Drosophila melanogaster: one gene and its partner. The protein of the gene in region 1 purifies or fractionates together with the protein of each later gene. This does not show direct contact. Each region holds a gene or a part of one and is shown on either strand. Other genes may lie near its edges. The genes, in order: jub and sav.

Evidence for each region.
Region 2: the proteins of jub (region 1) and sav purify together in Drosophila melanogaster (affinity purification with western blotting; 2 studies listed by BioGRID). This does not show direct contact.

The regions. Positions count from the first base shown.
Region 1 is NC_004354.4:13,825,830-13,838,728, reverse strand, and holds jub (ajuba LIM protein), read left to right. Parts: upstream 1-8,411; 5' UTR 8,412-8,718; coding exon 8,719-10,087; intron 10,088-10,475; coding exon 10,476-10,505; intron 10,506-11,009; coding exon 11,010-11,150; intron 11,151-11,219; coding exon 11,220-11,389; intron 11,390-11,608; coding exon of another isoform or gene 11,609-11,623; coding exon 11,624-11,686; intron 11,687-11,776; coding exon 11,777-11,942; intron 11,943-12,011; coding exon 12,012-12,259; 3' UTR 12,260-12,399; downstream 12,400-12,899. Other genes in the region: AMPdeam (AMP deaminase), read left to right, coding at 972-1,116, 3,580-3,914, 5,707-5,825, 5,889-5,983, 6,056-6,512, 6,573-7,027, 7,095-7,389, 7,451-7,561 and 1 more. UniProt on the Drosophila melanogaster protein: Regulates organ size by inhibiting apoptosis and promoting cell proliferation by influencing the expression of G1/S-specific cyclin-E (CycE) and apoptosis 1 inhibitor (th). Negatively regulates the Hippo signaling pathway.
Region 2 is NT_033777.3:23,055,561-23,067,332, reverse strand, and holds sav (salvador), read left to right. Parts: upstream 1-6,028; 5' UTR 6,029-6,149; coding exon 6,150-6,961; intron 6,962-7,349; coding exon 7,350-8,303; intron 8,304-8,374; exon of another isoform or gene 8,375-8,376; coding exon 8,377-8,437; 3' UTR 8,438-8,724; downstream 8,725-11,772. Other genes in the region: CG17111 (uncharacterized protein), read left to right, coding at 592-682, 1,451-1,795, 1,865-2,054, 2,532-2,772, 2,871-3,051, 3,108-3,321, 3,380-3,577, 3,640-4,558; Ublcp1 (Ubiquitin-like domain-containing C-terminal domain phosphatase 1), read right to left, coding at 4,654-5,456, 5,514-5,673; Ctns (cystinosin), read left to right, coding at 11,080-11,134, 11,195-11,291, 11,362-11,544, 11,610-11,772. UniProt on the Drosophila melanogaster protein: Plays a key role in the Hippo/SWH (Sav/Wts/Hpo) signaling pathway, a signaling pathway that plays a pivotal role in organ size control and tumor suppression by restricting proliferation and promoting apoptosis.

The DNA of each region.
Region 1 (12,899 bases):
CTTAAATATGATTCTTTGCGGCGGGTTTATTCCTTTGATGATAGGAGATTATTGTTGTTTTTGTGACCTTGAAGTGTATTCCAACTTCGGATCGTTTTAATCAGTCTCCTCATCTAGTTTGTTGTGTTTTGAGTGCGTGTTTTGATTTTGCCAGTATTTTTGCTATCTCCGCTAATCCCTCTCTCCTCCATTTCCGTCTCTTTCGTGCTGTTTTACACTGCAAAAAAAATATAAAAGAACAATTAAAATAAATAATATTAGCTATTATAATCTATATTTGAATTATTACCAAACATCCAAGTGATCTATTCAAATGATCTTGAATATCAGTTAGTTCGGATTAATAATTTCACAGTGAATCTAAGCTTATATGTAAATATTTTTCAGTGCCCTTCTTTTTTGTAAAACTTTGTTGTTCGCCCAATTTGTAGTCGCCAATCAATTCCGTGTGGTTGTTTTCTTGGAAGTCAATGTTTTAGTTCGTTTAATTTTATTTTTTTTATTATTTATTTGTGCCTCCAAAGATGATGCGCCTCTGCTGCAGTCGCAGTCGCAGTCTCAGTCGCTGTCGCTGTCGACGTCGGTAGATCTCGGCCTGGAATTCTCCGATCTTCGACGTTTTCCAATTTCATTCAGGCGACAACTCTCGAACAAGTTACTTCACAACACAACCTTGTCTACGATCCTCCGATTTCCCGGGTTTTCTCTGCATTTTCTGTACACTTTTTCATTTTTTTTTTTGCCATGAACTTCAATCGCATGGATACCGCCCATCGGTTGCGCGTCGATGTTCGACTTTATGGGGGATCGATGGGAAATCAGCTAAATGACAAAGGCACCGCCTCCTCCACGCCCACCATTTCATCGGACGATCTCAGTAGGTGTTTTGCACCACAATGGGATCTATAACTTAATAACTTTACCTGTTTAATTTGAATCCCTATAAATATGATTGTTTTCTAATTTCTTAGGTGATCTCGCCGATTCACCGGTGGATGAGAAGGCCGAAGCTGATGTGGAGGTGACCAACGAGATCTCGGCGCCCTATGAAGTGCCCCAATTTCCCATTGAACAGATCGAGAAGAAGCTGCAAATCCAGCGCCATCTCAATGAAAAGTGAGTGTTAGAAACCAATATACATATATCATAAAGATGCTCCCATAATGATTAAAATTAAATGGTAATTTAGCTTTGAGAGATTATACTTTTAAATTGTTGGATTTTGAGAAAGACCTGATTATTTTTCACTTATCAGCAAAACTTTAGTGATTTGCTATTGGAAACTGTAACATATTACAGTTTAATCAGTTATTAATAGGACTTACAACCTGTCTTACGTGCTACATTTAATAAAATATAATACGTTTTAGAGAAGCTCTACACTTTCAAAATGTAAGTTTCACACAATATATAGAAAAGCAAACTTTCATTTTTAAAATAACAAACGACAGTTGAAGTTTACTATGTACTTTTTGTTTGTAAATATATCTTCATAATTTACATAGATATATATATAGATTAAATTATATGTCTTCAAATCCCCATTATTCGGTTATAGTAATCAGATCCAAACCTAAATCGGTTCTGCTTCGCTTTAGATTTGTTTACTTTACATGCAAAGCAGACAAAAAACACGGCGAGTTCACAGATCTCGTGATTGAGTCCTTATCAGCTTTTCTATATTAAGGTTAGATTTTTTTCAAGGCTAAAATCTCTATTAAACAAACAAAGAAATTTTAAAGAGGACAAAAATAAAAACAAATCTTATCTGGGAAACATATGAAAATATGTTTTTACATCTCAAAATAAATGATAATATTTTCTTTGAATATTTTGTAATTCGAACATATCTTAGGATCTTACATCTCATAATAGATGGAAATATATTTTTTTTATATTTGAACATATTCTTAGGATTTGCACGCATTTCAGTCTGCTTGGCTCTCAATCATGAGCAGTTTCTATAGCCCCGTAATGAGGCAGCCACAAAATGTGTAGGCGTTGCAATTATCAGTCTGCCAGGTGGGCGGTGAATGTATGTATGTAGATTCCCGGGCGTAATCCAAAGTGGGTTTATGTCTGCCGCCAGAGTCCGGATCTCGGTTGCTGTTTGGATTTTCATTTTTGGCCGGGGAAAGTGTGGACCGATGCAGAACACGTTTTGATTTTGAATGGAAGTGCATTAGACAGACAGCCATGACGGAGGTGATGGACTTTCGCCCAAGCCGCCTAAAATCGAGCCGGTAGTGGTGGTTATGGTGGTGGTGCTAGGGCTTATGGCGTAATGAACCACCACCACCACCATCAGCACCGCCGCCAGGAGAACCACTGCAAGCGACGGTTGAGTTCTGGCGCGGATGCCGTCACTTTCAGTACGCTCCGATCCAATAAACGGGCAGCTCAACGTCGCGAAACGCGGCCCAAAGTTACCCACCTGGCACTACACTGTACTACACTACCTGTGCGACCTCCGCTGACATTGAGCCCGCCTAATAGGCAAAACCAGCCATCGAACTGCCATCTAGCCCATCTATAGCCACCCACTGTCCCACTAAAATTCACCAACCATTGTTGTTCGTGTCGCACGCCAGGCGTCGCTCAAAAAAAAAATAATAAAATAAAAAAAAAAGTGGCAAAGAAGCCAAGAAGCGGCGTTGGCAAAAACTTTCCAACTCGCACGGACACTTCAAGTTTTTTTTTTTTTTTTTTGGCATAAACTTAGAATTCCGACAGGTTTCGCACGCCAGTTAACAAAAGCAAAAGGGGAAATCCCCAAGTGACGGGTTTTTATATACATATATATACAAATGTTGCAGAAGACTTGACAATTTTGGAGTGGCATTATCTGCCAATCTAGTGATATTGCAACTAAGTCTTAGTTTTAAGTTCTAGAGAGTTGTTCTTAGAGTGTGTACCCTTTAAAGATTACACGCAGATATACTTTCTGAAGAGTTCAGTAATTATTTTTAAAGTAGCAGTTATCTTAGATATAAAGTTCAAGAGCTTATTCACCAGACAAAGGACAATCGAAGCATAGCAATTTAGCTTAGATACTGTGTTAAGGCACGCAATTTGTGGCAACTTTGAATTGGGTTTTTTTTTTTGGGTGTTGCAAGAGGTATCTTAAATAGCGTGCTGGATTGCAAATTAGCGACAATCGGTAGCTTTGCGTTGCCATAAATCAACTCACCAATCGATCATTACCCTATCTCCATCGCCATCAAAGTGAAGAGAGACCCGTGGCGAAGTGCTCCATTTGGCGGTGGTCACCAGTCCAGGCAGGATGTCCTTCGCGGATGATAGCTATAGCTTTGGTCGCTGCTACGAGTATCAGCCCGATGATTGCAAATGGTCAGCCTAGCAGGAGATCCCTTATATATTGCATATACGTAGTACCAAAGTTGTCAGTGACTAAATCCGTAACAGATTGTTGTAAGATCTAAAGAAATCTAAAGCGAGCTTTATGTCTCAAGGCTATTTTATCTCCTATTTACACTAGGAGGGTCAGTGATTAGTTAAATGCATTTGATTGTGTTTATTTAACCTTCATCATTTTGGTACTTGTCTCAATTATTTCAGGCAGGCTACAGGACCTAGACCAGTGGCCACAGCCGCCGTATTGGCCACAAACAGGGAATCATCCAGCAGCACCGAGGGCCGCGAGTCCGCCGTTACTATGGAGAGAAACGATGCGGACATTAACTTTCAACGGGTCTCAATTTCGGGTGAGGACACCAGTGGCGTACCGCTCGAGGATTTGGAGCGGGCCTCGACCCTGCTGATCGAGGCACTGCGCCTGCGTAGCCACTACATGGCCATGTCGGATCAATCGTTTCCCTCGACCACGGCTCGATTCCTCAAGACAGTGAAGCTCAAGGATCGCATCAACAATCTGCCCGTCAAGGAGGTGTCGGGTGAGTTCTTGTATTCCATCAATCCAATCCCGTATTCCCATAAGGAAGAGTGCAAAGCTATCTTCTGGTCTTCCCTTGTACAGTGGTATCTTCAACTTATGCATGGACTGGGTTGGTTTTGTGGTCTAAACTTAAACGCTACTTTGGTGTATTTAATTCGCTGTATTTTATAAAATCGACCCAGCCCATCGCAAATTTGTAAATATGTATGAAATAATGTGCAATAATGTACAATTGCCCCTAAGTGTTGTGATGCACCCAATTATGAATATTATTAATATATGGCAATTAATTCACTTGCGAGTGAATAATGTATAATACAAGTTCGTATTAGCGGGTGTTTTGTGTGAACTGTACTTGCCGGCGTTGCCAACTCATTTAATTGCAGAGGTTAGCTCGTGTGTCCGTCTCTTTCTCGCCTCCGCCTTAGCCGCCTCGCTCCGTTTCGTTTTCATGTCCTCCGTTTTTTTATTTAGAGCCTTTAACGAGCAACTGTGTACATACTGTGTATATGTTTGAGCCTTTTTAGCCCCCTTTTTTTATTTCAATTTGTTGATTTATTATCGACTATTTATTTCTCTTCTCGTATTTTTCATTATTTCTTATAGACATCATTCGCAAAATGAGTGTAGCGAACATACAAGGTAATTCGTGTGCACACCCGATTTTCCTGCCTTCCCGCTTTCCGCCTATCCAACTATTCCACCACGATCAACAAGAACAACTCCTCCTTCTGTTTTTCTGCCTGAAATTTGATTTCCGTTGAGCACTGCTTTATCTTGTTTTGTGTTCTTAATGGTTACTTCACGCTCCTAACCTCAAAATAGAGATAGAAACGCTGCTTTCAACGCATAGAGTGTGGCCAGCTTTTGGTTATTCAGTGTGATTGTAATTAAAAAACAAATACATATGTTTTCTGAATGTGTTAATGACCAAGCTTAAATCTATAATAATAATTTATGTTACCTGTTCCCCAGTTCGCATAATAGTTTATAAGATTAATTGCTGCATCCGATTTGTACAATCGTGCAAAGGTTACTAAATTGGCCGTCCTAACCTTCAGTTGTCTGCCTCTCCCGCTGCATTAAACACAATGCTGGCCACACTAATCTCTAGCTATTTCGCCCGCTATAAAAACTACACTTTGCAGAATTGAACTTTCTGTCAAACACTCGCATGTACATATGTATTCATTGACCGTTTATTTTTTCACTTCCACTGTGTTTCTGCATATGTTACTTGCGTGTTCTATATATTTGCCACCACAAAAGAACAACAACAACACGCCCCAGCTAAAATCATAAACGATATAAAAGCTTAAACTCTCACCGTTCCTCACTTACTTTTTGGTCCTTTGAAAGGGAAAAGCCTTGTACAAAAGGAAAGACTCAACTACTCCACTTTGAAAGCTTTTGTAGCGCACGAGTGGAACTCAGATGTATTTTCTAGTATCCTGTTGTCCTTTAAATTAATAGGGATTAATTTAAGATATCAAATCGTAATTTAATTTTGCTTCAAAAACTAAAAAGAAAATTCGAAGCTAGAATATTTAAAAAGGTGTACTGATACTGTACGGAGGTCCACTCTAAAGCACGTCGTACACACCAAATACTTACTGACAATAACACTCGCACAAACACCTGAGTGTAGAGTGTTGTCTTTGCCACTAACTGTACCAATTACCATTGCTGCTGCGATCGCCTTAAAAACTAAAACAATTTCTATTTTTGAATTTGAATTTAACACAAACACACACGTCTCAACTTGCTTCGAAACTGTTAAGAATCTGCAGATGTCCATTTGAGACATTCGCCAATGAAGATTACGAATCCGTGGAACGTCGAGTTTCCCAATGACGAAGATTTCAAGATTAAGCCCCTCAACGGAGTGTTTCACATTTACGAGAATGATGTAAGTATCTAGCTAATACATAAGAATACCACGAATCCTTACACACTCATGATAATATTCCAGGACGAAAGCAGTGAGATCAAATACGAATATCCAGATATGAGCCAATTCGTAAACGACATGCAGGTCATGTGCAATATGATTGCCGATGGGCCATTGTAAGTATATTTTCAGCAATGTATCAAATCGATTAAGATATAGAAATAATGTCCAATGCTCGACTTTAATAGGAAATCCTTCTGCTATCGACGTCTCTGTTATCTGTCGTCCAAGTATCAGATGCACGTGCTCCTCAACGAGCTGCGTGAGCTGGCTGCCCAGAAGGCGGTGCCGCATCGCGATTTCTACAACACCCGCAAGGTGGACACCCACATCCATGCCGCATCGTGCATGAACCAAAAGCATCTGCTGCGCTTCATTAAAAAGACGCTGAAGAACAACGCCAACGAGGTGGTCACCGTCACCAATGGCCAGCAAATGACACTGGCCCAGGTGTTCCAGTCGATGAACCTGACCACCTACGACCTGACCGTCGACATGTTGGACGTCCATGCCGATCGCAACACGTTCCATCGCTTCGACAAGTTTAACTCCAAGTACAATCCCATCGGGGAGTCGCGGCTCAGGGAAGTCTTCCTGAAGACGGACAACTATCTGAATGGCAAATACTTTGCACAGATCATAAAGGTGGTTATCAATTCACAACTGAATACGATTATAAACTAATTCTTCCGTTTTTCTTGCCAGGAAGTGGCCTTCGATCTGGAGGAGTCCAAGTACCAGAACGCCGAGCTGCGTCTCTCCATCTATGGCAAGTCGCCGGATGAGTGGTACAAACTGGCCAAGTGGGCCATCGACAATGATGTGTACAGCTCGAACATTCGCTGGCTGATCCAGATACCCCGTCTCTTCGACATCTTCAAGTCGAACAAGATGATGAAGTCATTCCAGGAGATCTTGAACAACATATTCCTGCCGCTCTTCGAGGCGACAGCCCGACCCAGTAAGCATCCCGAGTTGCATCGCTTTCTGCAGTACGTGATCGGATTCGATTCGGTGGACGATGAGTCCAAGCCGGAGAATCCGCTCTTCGACAACGATGTGCCACGTCCGGAGGAGTGGACCTACGAGGAGAATCCGCCCTATGCCTACTATATCTACTATATGTACGCCAACATGACGGTGCTGAACAAGTTTAGACAGTGCGTAGAAGTATATTGATATGTATATATATCATTGATTAACCCACTGTTACCTTTGATACATCAGATCTCGCAATATGAACACCTTTGTGCTGCGGCCCCATTGCGGCGAGGCTGGACCCGTGCAGCATCTGGTTTGCGGCTTCCTCATGGCCGAGAACATCTCCCACGGCCTCCTGTTGCGCAAAGTGCCCGTGCTGCAGTATCTGTATTATCTGACCCAGATTGGCATCGCCATGTCGCCGCTGTCGAACAACTCCCTGTTCCTCAACTATCATCGCAATCCGCTGCCAGAGTATTTGGCCCGTGGCCTCATCATTTCCCTCTCCACGGATGATCCCTTGCAATTCCACTTCACCAAGGTGGGCTAGACAATATATGCTTTAATATTCAGCATTAAATTAACCCATGTCCGCTTTTCAGGAACCCCTCATGGAGGAGTACAGCATTGCGGCACAGGTGTGGAAGCTCAGCTCATGCGACATGTGCGAGCTGGCCAGGAACAGTGTGATGATGAGCGGATTCCCACATGCCGTGAGTTCCAAGCATGCTTTCTGCTTTATGTTCGGACAAATGATTCCAATTCCGATTTCATCCACAGATCAAACAGCAGTGGCTGGGACCCATCTATTACGAGGACGGTATCATGGGCAACGACATCACGCGCACCAATGTGCCAGAGATCCGTGTGGCCTATCGCTATGAGACACTGCTGGACGAGCTGTCCAACATCTTCAAGGTGAACCAGACGTGCTCCATTGCAGACATGAACGCCACATAGTCTGGTCCATGCGGTACATCTGCTCCATCGCGTTGTTGTGGCTTCCTATGCTAACTTAATGCAAATTACGCAGATATATACGCTAGTTATATACATAATTTAAATGTTTCTGTACTAACCAAAATGTAAACGCGGCAGACCAAAACCTTTAAATATACAAAACTTGTACACGAAACTTCCATTCATTCAACTTTTATTTAAAAATAATCATAAGGTAAATAATATATAAATATAAATAATAATATATTTCGAGCTATGGGATCTAAAATTGTAGTTTTGGCTAACCTTTTGGGTTCAAAAGTAAAAATAGTGGATATAAGTTAAAAACTCAAGAAGAGTAATATTAAAATTTCAATGTTTGAAATTTAGACCTCAAATATTTCAAAATCCCGACTTTAAATGGATTAAAATTATTGCAAGCTAAAAAAATAACTAAGTGGAATTGTAATTAAATTTACAATTTTAAATAATAACGTTGCTAGATTAAAAAAAAAAAAACAATGTAATGCAATGCAATATGTATTTGATATTTTAGAGTGGCCCTTTTGAGCTGCAGTATATTTTGTGGTATATTCGCCTGCCTGCCGGACAGTATATTATAAACGTAACCCGCGGCGGTCACACTTAACTGTACGAATTTTTTGATATTCCAATGCAGGCGCACAAAGAAAATGCAGAAAAGCTGATAGAATAAAGGAAAAGCCGACTGACTGATTGCCAACTAGCCGAGCACAGTTAGCTAAGGTCTTTTCCGACCGGGAAAAGCGAGCCAATCGTTGATTTCGGGGCGGCGTCCCCCCCGCAGAGCGAGACAGCAAGTGTGGCGAGGGAGTAGGAGAGACGGAAGAAGAAGACGATAAGGAGGAGGAGCAGGATCTGGTGGATAAATATACATATATCAAAAGACAGAATGACCACCCAGCGGACGCAGACGCAGGCGAGGAATCCCGGCAACTCCGATTCCGACTATGAGACACTGATGCAGCGTCTTCACATCGGTGGGGGAGGTGGTGCTGGTGTTGGAGGAGGGGGCGGCAGTGGTGGCCCTGGAGACGGGGGCGTGGCCATGCGAAGCTACCAGCGCTCACCGGGCGCCATTGAGAACTACCTGCAGGAAAGTCAGCAGCAACAGCAGCAACATCAGATGCAGCAAATGCAGCAACTCCATCACAATCAGGACTATAAGCTGTACGAGCGCGGCAACATCATTGCCGCCTCCAAATACGCCACGCCCCGTCCGGTGGAGCAGATACAGCACACGCACAACGGAAGTGCACAAATCTATGCACCGACCGCACAGATTCTGGGCCAGCGGATTGCACCGCAGAAGCATTCGCCGGTATATGAGAACTTGGAGTTCTACGGTCAATTCGATTCAAACCACAAGAGGGCTCAGCCTCAAAGTCCCGGGAGCAGGCAGAGCGCCATATTGAACGGCTATCTGCTGATGCAGCCCATTCGGGCTGGGCGCTTTGCACACACGCCGGTGCCAGAGAATCAAGGATCTGCATCGTTGGGAACGACCAGAGCAGCAGGAGGACCACCACCACCATCGGGACGTTCTGCTGCTTTGGGTCCAACTGGCGATCTGGAGGAGCATGCTGCGCCCATATACGAGAACATCATTCCACACTCTGGCCAGCGGGCACAGCCACAGGCCTCGCCGGCCACCGCCACCATGTATCAGGAGATGCAGCCCACGTCCAACTCCTCAGGCAGTTCGTCCACCGCCGGTCTGGATCTCAATGCGCTGCTGGCCTCGCCCATGCACCAGCGAAGCATTAGCAGCAACACGGCCAGTTCTAGCTCCTTGGGATCGCCAACGCAACGATATAGGAATCTATCGTTACCTAGCCACCTAAGTCCCGTACCCACCGCGCAGTCGGTGGCCAAACTGCAGCAGCACACGCCCGTTAAGTCGCCCGGCGGCGCCATTAATGTCTCCGTTAATCCTAACTATATAGAGGACATCAATAGCTCTGACTACGTTTGCATGACGGCGAATCTGCACAGGAATACGGCAGCAGGATTGGCTACCGGCAGGGCGGCTGCAACGGGAGCCCCTGCCCAGCGAACTGTCCAGGAACCACCAATAATAACGTCATCACTGGCCATGGGCATGGCCACGGCAGCTCCACCAACCACATCCAATGCACCGACATCAGCAGCAGCGGCACCAGCAGCACCAACATCCACCGCTTCCTTGCGGGCGACGCCCATTGCGATGACGGCTCCTCTGGCGGTGGCCACATCACCCACTCCCTCGCAGGGCAGCACAGGTAAGCGACTGACGATCGTCTGTCCCCAAAATGGCGAATTACTTTAAGTGATGGAATAGATACTGCATCGCTTAGGTGGAGTACATGCTATATATAGTAAAGTGAACAAAAATTCTATCGATCCATTTAAAGATGCATGGTTACTTTACTAAACTAAAGCTATCATTTAAATATGGAATAATAATAAAAAGCACCTTCAACGTACTTTTTATTATACATAAACATGTATTTCGCCTAGCATGCAACATATTATAATATTTCAGTATCTATGTATGCATACTTTTGCCTACATGGATACATTCCATCACTAAACAACCATCAATTCGAGATTGTATTAATCAAACTAATGAATCCAAATGCTTCCCCCATCAAAAATGCTTGCACGCAGCCGTTAATGCTGCCTTGAAACCCAGGAGAGGTATGACGGGCTGAGCTTGGTTTCTCCAAAGGGGTTGGGTTCCGTTCGTGTCATCACTCATCGCTCAATCATAAACCGGTTGGCGGGGCGACAAACTTTGGTCAAACGGTTGCCGCTAACCGGTTTAATTTTAAGTCCTTTACCTGAACCGATTCAATGACAACCGAAACCGATTCGAATGCAATATCGTTCATTTTCATTTCACCATGATTGAAATTGCGATTTTATCGTTTAAACAAACAAATTTTTTATGTTTTGTCGATGGGAATTATAATTAGAAAAATATTATTATAATTTGATTTCATTTTTCATTCAAGAATTTGGCTTACACCGCGAATTTTTCAGCTTTTTTCCTGATTTATTTATTTCAATTATTTTCGTTTGTCCCAACAATGCGCCCGCATATTTATTTTTGTTTTTTCCTAACTAAGCTGACTAATCTTCACTTGGCCTTGCAAGCCAAGTCAATAGCATGACCTAATATCTACTCTGTACCGCCATCAGGTCTCACCAAGAATCTGCTACCGTATAGCGTCACCCCGCCGCGTCCGGCTGGCCCGACGGAGGCGCAGCGCAAGATCGAAGAGCTCACACGCCAGCTGGAGGAGGAGATCGAACAGAGCGAGGAGCACGGCGAATACTTTGGTGTGTATTTATTGTTAGCACTTAACCATAATATCTCTGACTCACAATAATATCGGTTACAATCACTAGGCATTTGTCACACATGCGGCGAGAAGGTGAAGGGTGCCGGGCAGGCTTGCCAGGCGATGGGCAATCTGTATCACACCAACTGCTTCATCTGCTGCTCCTGCGGACGGGCGCTGCGAGGCAAGGCGTTCTACAATGTGCATGGTCGGGTCTATTGCGAGGAGGATTACATGGTGAGAAGATAGTTGTAGTTGTAGTTTAGTCAGGACTGAAAAATATTGATATTCCCCGTAAAAACTCCTTTTCATTTTGAGAAAACACTTTCCCAACTGTATTGTGTTGTTTGAATTTTATTATATTTATGATTATAAATCGTTATTTTTGGTTACTGACGCAATTACCTTTTCATTTGCTTTGTTATGATTTCAACGCCATTAATTAATAATAATAAGAATTCACTCTTGCAGTACTCGGGCTTCCAGCAGACGGCGGAAAAGTGCGCCATCTGTGGCCATCTGATCATGGAAATGGTTCGTACTGCACCCCATTCGTTTCTATCCCACTCTAATTGGGCAACTTGTACTCACATTGACGTCGCTCTCGCTCTTTCCCTCTTGCAGATCTTGCAGGCCATGGGCAAGTCGTATCATCCGGGCTGCTTCCGGTGCTGTGTGTGCAATGAGTGCTTAGACGGGGTGCCCTTCACCGTGGACGTGGACCACAAGATCTACTGCGTCAACGACTACCATCGAATGTTTGCGCCCAAGTGCGCTAGCTGCGGCAAAGGTGGGTTCACAACTTCATTCCGAATAATACGTCAATGCTAATCTCGCAATCGTCGGCAATTCTCGGCAGGCATCACACCCGTCGAGGGCACCGACGAAACTGTGCGCGTCGTCTCGATGGACAAGGACTTCCACGTGGACTGCTACATCTGCGAGGAGTGCGGCATGCAGCTGACCGATGAGCCGGACAAACGCTGTTACCCGCTGGACGGGCGCCTGCTCTGCCGCGGTTGCCACCTGCAACGTCTGGCGCTGCAATCCTCGCCACACGCTCGTCATCAGGAGCCCGTCTGCGCTTCGTACCAGTATATGGGATAAGCGGAACGGAGTGTGGCTGGGAGAGGCGGCGCGGCGCAGACCGACCTTCCGACCTTCGACTGAGTGGCGCACAAAACCAGAACAAACTATCGCAATCAACTTATTCCAATTAACAATATTATCTTAAATAGACAGAAGTGAAAACAAATGCATTTATACGAAACGAGGGCCAAGCTAATGGCTTTTTTTTTTCTTCATTTTTATGGCAGTGTACTAGGATCTCGAAACGGATCTGTTAGAAACTATGTAATGGATTCCTAAAATCTCCGACAGTTGGCAGCCATTGTTGGCAATACTATTTTGATACAAGTATATTGATGTGTTCTTCATATGTATGTCCTGGGGTGTTCCTGAGACCTCTTGAGGTTTCAATGCAATAGCAAACGGTGTCTCAAATTATGCAATAAAATACTTAATACTTCTTATCTGAAAGTCTTTTGTGGATATTCCAGTGGGTTAGTGGCTTGTTGTGATACATACCATACATTCGGTTATTAAGTAGCGAAAATGCAAAATTTTAATTGTTTGCCTAAACCGTGAGTAATTAACATATACGTGTGACATTTTGAATTTTGTTTAGTTTTCTTATAACACATACATACAAAATATTTTCTTTTAAATTTTTCGAATGCTTAATGCT
Region 2 (11,772 bases), on another chromosome or scaffold:
CTCCACTCGATGATCTCTCCGCCTGGGAGCCCAGATCATCGTCTGCTATTTGCAAGTCGAGAGTCGCGCGAGTCGGACGTACAATCGCCGCAGCGGAATCAAGTGTGATAAAAGTGAACAGAACTTTAGCCAAGTGCATTTGGCTAATGGAAGTGGTGGCAAAAGTCAAAGCCACACGTTATACTCGAATTTAAAAACAAATAAATAATGCATAAGCAGGCGAGTTTGAAGTAATTAGCACAACGATGATGCTGGCGGCCAACTGACCCACATCGGGAAATCGCTCTAATTCATATTTGTTGTCGAGTGGGCCAGGATAACAGGATAACAGGATACTGCTGGCTCATTTGCATTTGCATATATGCAAATAGTTCGATCTGCAGGCGATTGAGTGACCGAAAGTGTTGGACTGTGCCAAATACATAACCAGCTAACGGGCAAAAAGCCACTGAATAAATGGCCCTTGTTACTCGGTTCGTGTAATGCGTCTACGAGTTTAGCCCGTGTTCTGACCGAGAATCAATTAAAATTTATTGCACGAGCATGCCAAACAATTCGCGGTTGCAGCCACAAAAACGCATCTGAAAAACAATGCCACCACTCCAATCACTTGTGACCGCCCCCCGGCTATGCAAATTAGCCATTGCAGCGATTTTGCTAATTCTCCAGCTAAACGCTAGTGGTGAGTTCTCAGTTGGCTAATATATATATATGTATATATATGAAATATGAAAAATCGGAAAACCCCTTTGCAAACATTGCTCCGCGCTTAGCTCATGATGATGCCAATTCCGAGAGCGTTTTGAAGATGCACTCGCCATTTGCATTCAAAAGCCAAGCGAATAAATGGAGAAGCAAAACCAAAACTGCATAGATCAATTTACAAGTCGGCAAAGGGGTTTACTCGCTGCATGTGCATGTCAGCTGCTATTATAGATTTATTTATTGGCAAACACCCTGAGAACGAGTTTCATTGGGGGGCCTAAGTGGGAGAATGACCTACACAGGAAAGTGCTCTTAACTAAGCAACTAACTTCTGGAAAAGCGGAAGTGGAGAGATTAAGTACTATCTTATAGATATGCCAGAATATCAAAAAAGTATCTACCAGATACCTTGAAAGATCTCTGCATATCTCAATTGCAATTCATGATAAGTTTGTTAAGTTACGTTTTTTAATTTCCAATTCAACCTTTCAATTAGTTAATAACGCCAATCTCAGACATTCCTAAACCCCCTCCCTACTTAAGGGTAAATCCCGATGATGCTTGATTGATTTTCTCATTGCTCAGCTATGCATAAAAATATCATATTAATTGATGAGCACGAGCTTAGCTACCAGAATTGAAATCCATATGACTGCTCGGCAATTTGAAAAATGCGTTGGTTCCCAGTCATGCGCATCCCGTTGGATTGAAACCCACATTCATGGCATTCCGTTCTGCCCCCCAGTTGCGCTGCTGCTCAAGTGTCCGTTGCACCAGTTGCAGCTGCAGAAGATCGTCGGATTCCGGCCACCGCTGGAGTATCTGAATGCGGATAATCGGATCTACGGACCGGAAATGGTGAGCAACTTCAAGACTCGCAACGGCCAACAGGAACTTCCGGTCAGCCAGGTGTGCTGGCGCATCTGCAACGAGGATCCCGATTGCATTGCCTATGTCCATCTGCTGGACACGGACGAGTGCCATGGCTACTCGTACTTCGAGCGAACCTCGCGCTATCTGGCCATTTCGGGTGAACTGCCTCTGGTGGCAGACGGCGAGGCCGTCTTCTACGAAAAGACCTGCCTCCGAGGTGAGTAATTCTCCAGCCAAACCTCCGGAAGTGGCCGTGATCCGCCTCTAATCCATTCCGACCTTGCAGTTCCCGATGCGTGCCGTGGGCGTCTCTGGGCACTGACCAAAATCCCCGGCAGCACGCTGGTCTACCACAGCAAGAAGACCATTTCGACGCTGGTCACGCGGCGTGAGTGCGCCGAGCGCTGCTTCTTCGAAACCCAGTTCCGATGCCTCTCCGCCTCCTTTGCGCCCTCCTATCGGAACAATCGTGAGCGGTAATTGACTATTTGTTGTTTGTTGTTTGCTATTTGGTTGTTTGTTGTTGTCGGTTGTCAGTGGGTGGTTGTTGTAGTTGCTGGTCGCCGGACAAATGAATAGCTTTTGTTGTGCATTTTTAATGCATGGTCGAGACTTTTCGCCGGATTATGACATCACTCCGAGGATGGTGATGGGATAGGTTAGGACTATTCAACAATGTGTAGCAAGCTAATAATATGATAATATGATATTATAATACGAAAGAAAGATATATCCAGAAGACATCATCTTTTCGAAGCTATGTTCTTTTCCAAACAAATTTTTACAAAATAAGATAAGTATTTTTGAAAAGTGAGATCATCAGCAATCATCTAGATTTTCTTAAACTCAAGTATATATCGAATTCTTCTGAAATAACCGAACTGACTTGGTCATAATCGACACATCATCGTTTAGAAGTTAATAAAGCAACCTTTAACCCTCCTCTTTCGTAGCTTCCGCGGCGAGGCGGGTCCTGGCCAGCGTCCGTCTCCCCGCCTCGGCAGATGTATGCTGAGCGACAGGGACAAGACCGTCCAGCCGGACGCCTTTCGCGCGGCTCCATACGACGAGGAGTACATGGAGAACCAGTGCCACGAACGGGCCATCGAAAGTGACAACTGTTCCTACGAGCTGTACGCCAACAGCAGTTTCATCTATGCGGAGGCCAGGTATTTGGGCCTCTCCCAAAAAGAGGTGTGTCCGCCGCGCTTCGGATGTCGCGCATTATGATTGTAATCGAAATGGATGGGGGGTCGGATGATTGATTGATGGCTTCTACCTCCGTATTGCAGTGTCAGGCGATGTGCTCCCACGAGGCGAAGTTCTACTGCCAGGGTGTCTCCTTCTACTATGTAAACCAACTCTCGCTGTCCGAGTGTCTCCTCCACTCGGAGGACATTGTATCCCTGGGTCCGCGAAGCCTGAAGCTCCGTGAAAACTCGGTGTACATGCGGAGGGTCAAGTGCCTGGATGGTAAGATCTTCTGGGGATGTGGTATGCTCAATCTTAATCGATTCCTTATTCCGCAGTCCGGGTTTTTTGCACCCGCGATGAGATGACCATTAAGTACAATCCCAAGGACTGGTTCGTCGGCAAGATCTATGCCAGCATGCACTCCAAGGACTGCCTGGCCAGAGGATCGGGCAATGGGAGTGTTCTGCTGACGCTCCAGATCGGCAGCGAGGTAAAGGAGAACCGCTGTGGCATCCTGCGTGCCTACGAAATGACACAGGAATACCAAAGGTAAGATGAAGTCCAATGTCCAGTCCATTTTTTTAATTATATCATTTGCATTATTTAGAACGTTCATATCTGCTCTGGTGGTCATCCAAAACAATCCAAATGTGCAAACCCAGGGCGACCGGCTCATCAAGGTTGGCTGTATACAGAGCAATGCCACCACATCGCTGGGCGTTTCGGTTCGGGACAGCAGTGTGGATAGCTCAGAGCCTGTGCCCAGCGCCATTGCACTGGAGTCCTCATTGGAGTACACAGAACAGTGAGTGTATTCTTAATAGAATCCCTCAAAATGCTTAATTCTATCACAATCGATACCTGCAGCATGTTCCCACACGAGGGTGTGGTTCACTACAACAGCAGCACTGGGCCCCATCCGCATCCCAGCATCTCGCTTCAGATTTTGGATCTATCCCACCAGCACGAGACCAACGACGTGCAGATTGGACAGAACCTGGAACTACAGATTGTGGCGGAGTACAGCCCACAGCAGTTGGCAGAGCACATGGAGTTGCAGCTGGCACCACTACCCGACTTTCGTGCTACCTCGCTGGTGGCCAAGACAGCGGACAATGAGAACTTTGTGCTGCTGATCGACGAGCGAGGATGTCCCACAGATGCCAGTGTGTTTCCCGCTTTGGAAAGGGTACACACAGCCAGCAGGAGCATGTTGCGCGCTCGCTTCCATGCCTTCAAGTTCTCAGGAACGGCCAACGTAAGCTTCGATGTAAAGATTCGCTTCTGCGTGGAGCGCTGCTCGCCCAGCAATTGTATTAGTTCATCCTGGCAACGGAGAAGGCGACAGGCTGACCAACCAGATCGTAGACCGGAAGACCTACGAGTTCAGAACCCCGTGTACATCTCCACGGTGGTGGATGTGGCTCCGCAACCAGACAACTTTACCAGATCGCAGGAGGAATTGCCCCTCAACTACAATATCCGGGTGCACGGTCCGGACCAGAGCAACACCAATAGTTATCTGTACGGCGAGCGGGGAGTGCTGCTCATTGCTGGCATAGACGACCCGCTGCACCTGGATAACGTTTGCATCAACCAGAGCCTGCTGATTGCACTGTTCATCTTCTGGCTGATCTGTCAAGTTGCCCTGCTCTTCGGCTGTGGAATGGTGCTGCAGCGCTACCGCCGGCTGGCCAAGCTCGAGGATGAGCGACGCAGGCTGCACGAGGAGTACCTGGAGGCGAGGAGAGTCCACTGGGCGGATCAAGGCGGATACACACTCTAATTGACGGCTGGAACGCAATGCGTATAAAATGCATCTTAATTTAATAAACATAAATCTAACATAAATCTAACAAATGTTTGCAACCGAGGATAAGTTCAGGAGTTCTTCTTGGGATGGTAGTGCTCCCACTTGCGATGGTTTAGCGAATTGAAATCCGGGCAGTGGTGAGCGATTTTGCGCAAATAGTCGGACAACTTGAGCAGCTCGGTGTCCGTGCCACGGTTGAGATGAGCCTGACGGAATGGGCGGATCTTTAGGCCGGACTTTGGGTTCATAAGGAAGTTGCGACGGATGTCATCAAACATGATAGTGTTGCTCGAGTTGTATTGCTTGTACAGGGCCCAGATTACACCAAGCGGCTTTACGTCCACCACACCGCGCTCCGGCACATGAACTGATATCATGGCGGTGGAGTCCAGATAGAACATCACCTTGTAGTTATCGTTACTGGCCACGCCCAGCAGGCGCATCTTTTCCTCGATCCAGCGCATGCTGGTGGCGGACCAGATGACAATGTCGTAGTCCTCGTAGGCGGAAGTCAGAAACTCGTGCAGATACGGACGCATTAGCTCCGTGCCTGTTTCAGCAGGCGATCGGTGATCGAATAGGGTATAGTCTATGTCCAGGACAAGCAGCTTCTTGCCCTCACGCGGCGGCGCTAACTCCTTGATCTTGTAGTCTCGCACACGACGCTGCACCTTGGCCAAATAGACGGCGGAGTGCTCCACGGACTCTTCGCGTTCATCGGCGTCATCGAAGTCGTCGACCACTTCGCCAATATTATCGGGCAGGCTGCACGCATCCTCGATATCGGCCTCTGTGGAGCCCACCATCATAAGCTTAAAGTTGGGCTTCAGCTCCAAAGCGCTGATCTTCACATTGTCGGCTGCTGTCTTTCCTGCAAGTCATTGGATCTTAAAACTGAAATATCCCGAAGCCTAGGAGTGTCACGCACCTTTGTACTTCAGGTTGAGCAGCTTTTGACGTTCCGGACGCACCTGTGTCTTGCGGAATATCTCGTGACGCAGCACTTCCACGGTGTCCTGGTCGGTGAGGTCCACCGGGTACTCCTTACCACTCCATTTTACAATCACTACCACTTCTTTGACCTCCATCTTAGCTGGTTTCTATTCCGCTATTAATTTATCACACCATATATGGTAATGTATGTTTGTTGGATAGAATCCAGCAAGTGGTTTGCAATAGTGTACCTTAAAGATATTAACTAATTTATTAGAAGACCATATAAACAGTCGAGTTGTCAGAAGTCGATAGATACTATCGATTGCAACGCCCGGCGTTATCGATTGCAATCGGCTTGCAATAAAAATAATGATTTTTTGATTATATTTTTCAGAGATTATTAAAAAATATTTTAAATTTTTTAAAATTATATATTTAGCAATTAAAGAAAGTCATGCAAAGACATGAGGAATGTCCCCAAGTTGCCAATAGGCGATTGTTTCGCCAGTTCATTGGCCACACTGGTCACCAGCTGAAAACACAAAAACCGATCGTACAGCATAAATTTAGCTCGAAAATGGACTAAACAAAGACAGCGATCCGGAATCCGAGCGGAAACATAGTCTGCATGAACTATCTAACGATCCTGCTGTGCAACCGAAAACCGACGATGCTCTCGCGCCGGAACAAGGAGAAGTCCCAGCACAAGGAGGGCGTGGTGGGGAAGTACATGAAGAAGGACACCCCACCGGATATTTCGGTGATCAATGTGTGGAGCGATCAGCGGGCCAAGAAGAAATCGCTGCAGCGCTGTGCGAGCACCTCGCCCAGCTGCGAGTTCCATCCGCGCAGCTCGAGCACCAGTCGGAACACCTACTCCTGCACGGACTCGCAGCCGGACTACTACCATGCTCGACGAGCACAGAGCCAGATGCCCCTGCAGCAGCACTCCCACTCGCATCCTCACTCTCTGCCCCACCCCTCCCATCCGCATGTGCGTAGTCATCCTCCCCTGCCGCCCCACCAGTTCCGCGCCAGCAGCAATCAGTTGAGTCAGAACAGCAGCAACTACGTTAATTTCGAGCAGATCGAGCGGATGCGCCGTCAGCAGTCGTCGCCACTGCTGCAGACCACATCATCGCCGGCGCCGGGAGCCGGAGGATTCCAGCGCAGCTACTCCACCACCCAGCGGCAGCATCATCCCCATCTGGGTGGTGACAGCTACGATGCAGATCAGGGCCTGCTAAGCGCCTCCTATGCCAACATGTTGCAACTGCCCCAGCGGCCACACTCGCCCGCTCACTACGCCGTCCCGCCGCAGCAGCAGCAGCATCCACAGATTCATCAACAGCACGCCTCGACGCCGTTTGGCTCCACGCTGCGGTTCGATCGAGCTGCCATGTCCATCAGGGAGCGACAGCCCAGGTATCAGCCAACTAGGTAAACTGCCTCTTGAAGTACTATATTTGAATAGATAGCGCGCGATTGATAAAGTGGGTAGAGATAATATGAGCAGCTCTTGATTAAAGGAATAATCCGTAAAAACTACATATTGTCAAAAAGTGCTTAATATTATTATAACTTTTAAACAATGACAATGCACGAAATGTTTTATTTTCGAAACATTTATTGTTCAAAGATTTTTTATTTGATAACAGATTGCTTTATTTATTTACAATAAGAAAAGTTGATGTACAAAACCGGTTTCTACTCGCCTTACAATAATTAAAACAATAACACAATATATGATTTTCTGTACGAGGAATATAATGGAATATATATGATATATACAACATTTTTAAACACATTTTCTCTTCTGTTTCCACAGCTCTCCGATGCAGCAGCAACAACAACAACAACAACAGCAGCAGCAGCAGCTGCAGCACACACAACTGGCAGCTCACCTGGGCGGCAGCTACTCCAGCGATTCGTACCCGATCTACGAGAATCCGTCCCGCGTCATCTCGATGCGCGCCACGCAGTCGCAGCGATCGGAGTCGCCCATCTACAGCAATACGACGGCCTCGTCGGCCACGCTGGCCGTGGTTCCGCAGCATCATCATCAGGGTCACCTGGCGGTGCCATCTGGAAGCGGGGGAGGATCCCTGAGCGGCAGCGGTCGTGGTGGCAGTTCTGGCAGTGTTCGCGGCGCCTCTACCTCAGTGCAATCACTGTACGTCCCACCGCGAACTCCGCCCAGTGCGGTTGCCGGAGCGGGAGGCAGTGCCAATGGGTCGCTGCAGAAGGTACCATCACAGCAATCGCTCACGGAGCCCGAGGAGCTGCCTCTGCCGCCCGGCTGGGCCACTCAGTACACGCTACACGGTCGGAAATACTATATTGATCACAATGCGCATACCACGCACTGGAATCATCCGTTGGAGCGCGAAGGTCTGCCGGTGGGCTGGCGGCGGGTGGTGTCCAAGATGCATGGCACCTACTATGAGAACCAGTATACCGGGCAGAGCCAACGTCAGCATCCATGCTTGACCTCCTACTATGTCTACACGACGTCTGCGGAGCCACCGAAAGCGATTCGACCAGAGGCGTCGCTCTATGCCCCACCCACGCACACTCACAATGCACTGGTGCCGGCCAATCCCTATCTGCTCGAGGAGATCCCCAAGTGGTTGGCCGTCTACTCGGAGGCGGACTCGTCCAAGGACCACCTGCTGCAGTTCAACATGTTTAGCCTGCCGGAGCTGGAGGGCTTCGACAGCATGCTGGTGCGGCTCTTCAAGCAGGAACTGGGCACCATCGTGGGCTTCTACGAGCGCTACCGGTAAGTGAGCGGCCACATGCCGCTGCATTCTCCGCTCTCCGAAAAGCCACTACTCTCTTGTTACACCTTTCAGTCGCGCTTTGATACTCGAGAAGAATCGACGCGCCGGCCAGAACCAGAACCAAAACCAGTGACCCGGTGACCAGGTGACGACTGACTCAGACCACATACTCGCCAGCAGCTATATGCACATCATAGTGCTCCTGTAATCGACCTTTAACTTATTTAACCATCGACTCATCGCGAAATCAGTGCCTTATACGAAACCAGACGAGATGGTAGCCAAGCAGATCCATGACAGTTCGAATGCCTTGATGAAACGTAGAATTGTGCTACGTTCTATATAACCTTAATGTGATTTGAGCTTGGCGTTTGTTTGTAATGTGAGCAAAGAAAATTAAACTGGTTTACTGATCATCTTACCTGCCGAGCGCAATTGTAATCGATGTGCCACCTGAAACCCCACAGGTATTTAACCTGGGAGTCCGATTCATCGACGGATGTTTTGGAAATTCAGCGCCGCGAAGTGTAAATAAAGGGCAACAGTTGGTGGCCAAGTCTTACTCGACTTGGCTTGGCACATATTTCCGAGTTCCATGCCAAGTTTTCGATTCGCTTGCAAAAATTATGCATTGGGCACAAGTGAATCGTGGCCGATTCTGTATTGGCAAAAAAAAAAACAGCGCTCCAATAGAAAGTGAATCTTATGTTTGTTTTCGTTTGGCTATGCTTATTTTTAGTCGAACCTGATAATTCATTCAGTCGCCTCTTATCGAATGCTTATAAAACTTTATAGTCACTGTTTCTGCAGGTCCCTCAAAAACAGTTTCTACTGCTGATAAGAAGTTTTCGAAGTCTGGGGAGTATTCGGCATTGGAAAGGCCAAAAGTTGTGTTTTATTATATTTTGAACATATTAAACAGGATACATAAAACGAGAGTTTTAGATTGTAATTACATTTGTCATATCTTTTGCTAAATTGATAAGTAAACAGAAAATATGACTCGATGGATATTATTGACTAATAATATATATTTAGGGGTTTGGTATGATTACTTTGTACTGTGAGATACAAGTTCGTTTGTCCCACAGATACTTTTCAATTCATAGCTTATCCTACAGATACATTTCAATTCATAGCTTATCCCGTAGATACATTTCCATTCATTGCTTATCCCACAGATACATTTTAGCATATTTTTTTTGAAATTTGAATTTGAAAAAAAAGTGTTTTTTTTTTTTTTGTTTTGAGAACTACTCGTCTTGTCAAAATATTTAACTGTTCCCGACTGAAGTGCCCACCTTTTCGGCCGCCGGGTTCTCAAGTGCAAAAATAATGTATAATAAAAAGCCAAGATACGTCGGCGGTCCGCTCTCGCCCCACTTGTTGTTGCTGCTGCCGCTGGTGCGTCGCTGCCGCTGCCGCAGTCGACGTCGACTCCATCGCTCCAATATTTAAACGGATCCATTGGATCGCGCACTCAGTCGCACTGGAGAGTCGCCATCGCAGCCATCATCATAGCATTCCATTCCACTTGTAGCCATCGGCAGTCGCTCAATCGTCAGTTGGGACACATTATTTAACTTCATTCTTAACGTGAGTGAATTGATGTGTTGGGTGGCGATCATGCATATAGCATAGGCAAACAACTGTTCTAATCCGCATTATCTTAATCACAATAATCCGGCGGCTTATACAGATGTTTTGCGTTAGCAGTTGGCGGCTAAAAGCCTCTGCTTGCCCACATGCCAGTGAAAGTTCTAATCCGGCTCAAACAGACGCACAACAAGCGTATCTCGTGCGTGGAATCATGAATGAATAAATGGGTGTTACTGTTAACTAACAATGGACCTTTTTACCAATCAATCGTCTTATCTATCACCAGAATTGAAACAGAATTAGTGAATAACTTATGGTGCATATCAGTTGAAACATGAAGATTCGTGTGAACGATCGTGAAAGATATGGTGTTCGAACTTTAAATTACCCTTGTAGTTTACCACTCTCATTAGTTTTGATTTATGTAGAACCAAAATTTGGATCGTGACTTGCGATTAGTATTGCAATCGCAGTGCATTGCCCAATCTATTGATTATCTGCAACTTGTGGCAGACTGCCGCAATAATTCGACGGACACTATCAGCTAGCTCCATTGATTGAGATAAGCCCGTTCTCACGCGGTGTTTTACACTTCTTGGCAATCGCCAAGTCACGGCCCTCGCCATATAAAAAATATAGTATGAACAATCGGGAATCTTTTGGTTTTACGATCGACCGACAAAGCCCATGTATTTCCTGTTACGTCCATTTGGGCCATATAGGCACATAAAATGGGTGCTCCAACGCTTGCCGTGGGAAAGTGTGCTCCAATTGCAAAGTTGTAACATTGAGCGACATTTGATGAAGGTTACCGACTTTTATCTCGACAAAAACACACACGAATTCCAGATGAAGCGAGCGTGCGTAGTTTGCACTGCAAGTTTTTTTTTTGGAACAAATAGTTTTATGTTTATATCATTTTATATCATATTATATTCCTTATTGATTGAGTGTCTGCACGGGTCATTAAATTAAGAAGCAAAAAAAAAAAAGGTGTCAGGAATTGCATTCCATACTCCTACGAGTAGATATCAATTTCACCCGATCGTGGTCAATTGGTCAATTGAAGTAATTCACAATTGAATCAATACAATACCATATAGGGCTTCATTGAAGAAGATGCCAGCAGGACTGGATGCTCATGCATGAATAAGTTGAACGTTGAACGCAAGCAGAATGGATTTCAGCACACACCGCCTGACCACTTTGCTGCTCCTCCTCCTGGCCACAGGTGAGATATCGCAATCCAGATATTGCGATCTAATAATGAGGGAATTTCTCCTGCCCACAGTTGCCCTGGGAAATGCCCAAAGCAGTCAGCTCACCGTCGATTCCCATGACATCACCGTTCTGCTGAACAGCAACGAGACTTTTCTGGTGTTCGCCAAGTGAGTTGCCATTGCCGGGAAATCCAAATCCAAAACATATGGCATCGTAAATCTATTGTGCCCATTACAGCGGATTGCTAGACAGCGACGTGGAAGTTGCGCTGGGAACAGATTCGGAGGATCATTTGCTCCTCGATCCCGCAACGTTTGTGTATCCAGCGGGCAGTACTCGAAATCAGTCGGTGGTGATAACTGGCCTCAAAGCCGGCAACGTCAAAGTGGTCGCAGATAGCGATGATGCGAACAAAGAGATGTGAGTAACTTCACGGGAATCCCAACTGTTCCCGTACCTAATTGGAAAATTCACTTATTTTCCAGTGTGAAGGATGTGTTCGTACGCGTGACTGTGGCCAAATCGAGAGCTTTGATCTACACCTCCATCATCTTTGGCTGGGTTTACTTTGTGGCCTGGTCGGTGTCCTTCTATCCGCAGATCTGGAGCAACTATCGCCGCAAGTCCGTCGAGGGACTGAACTTTGAT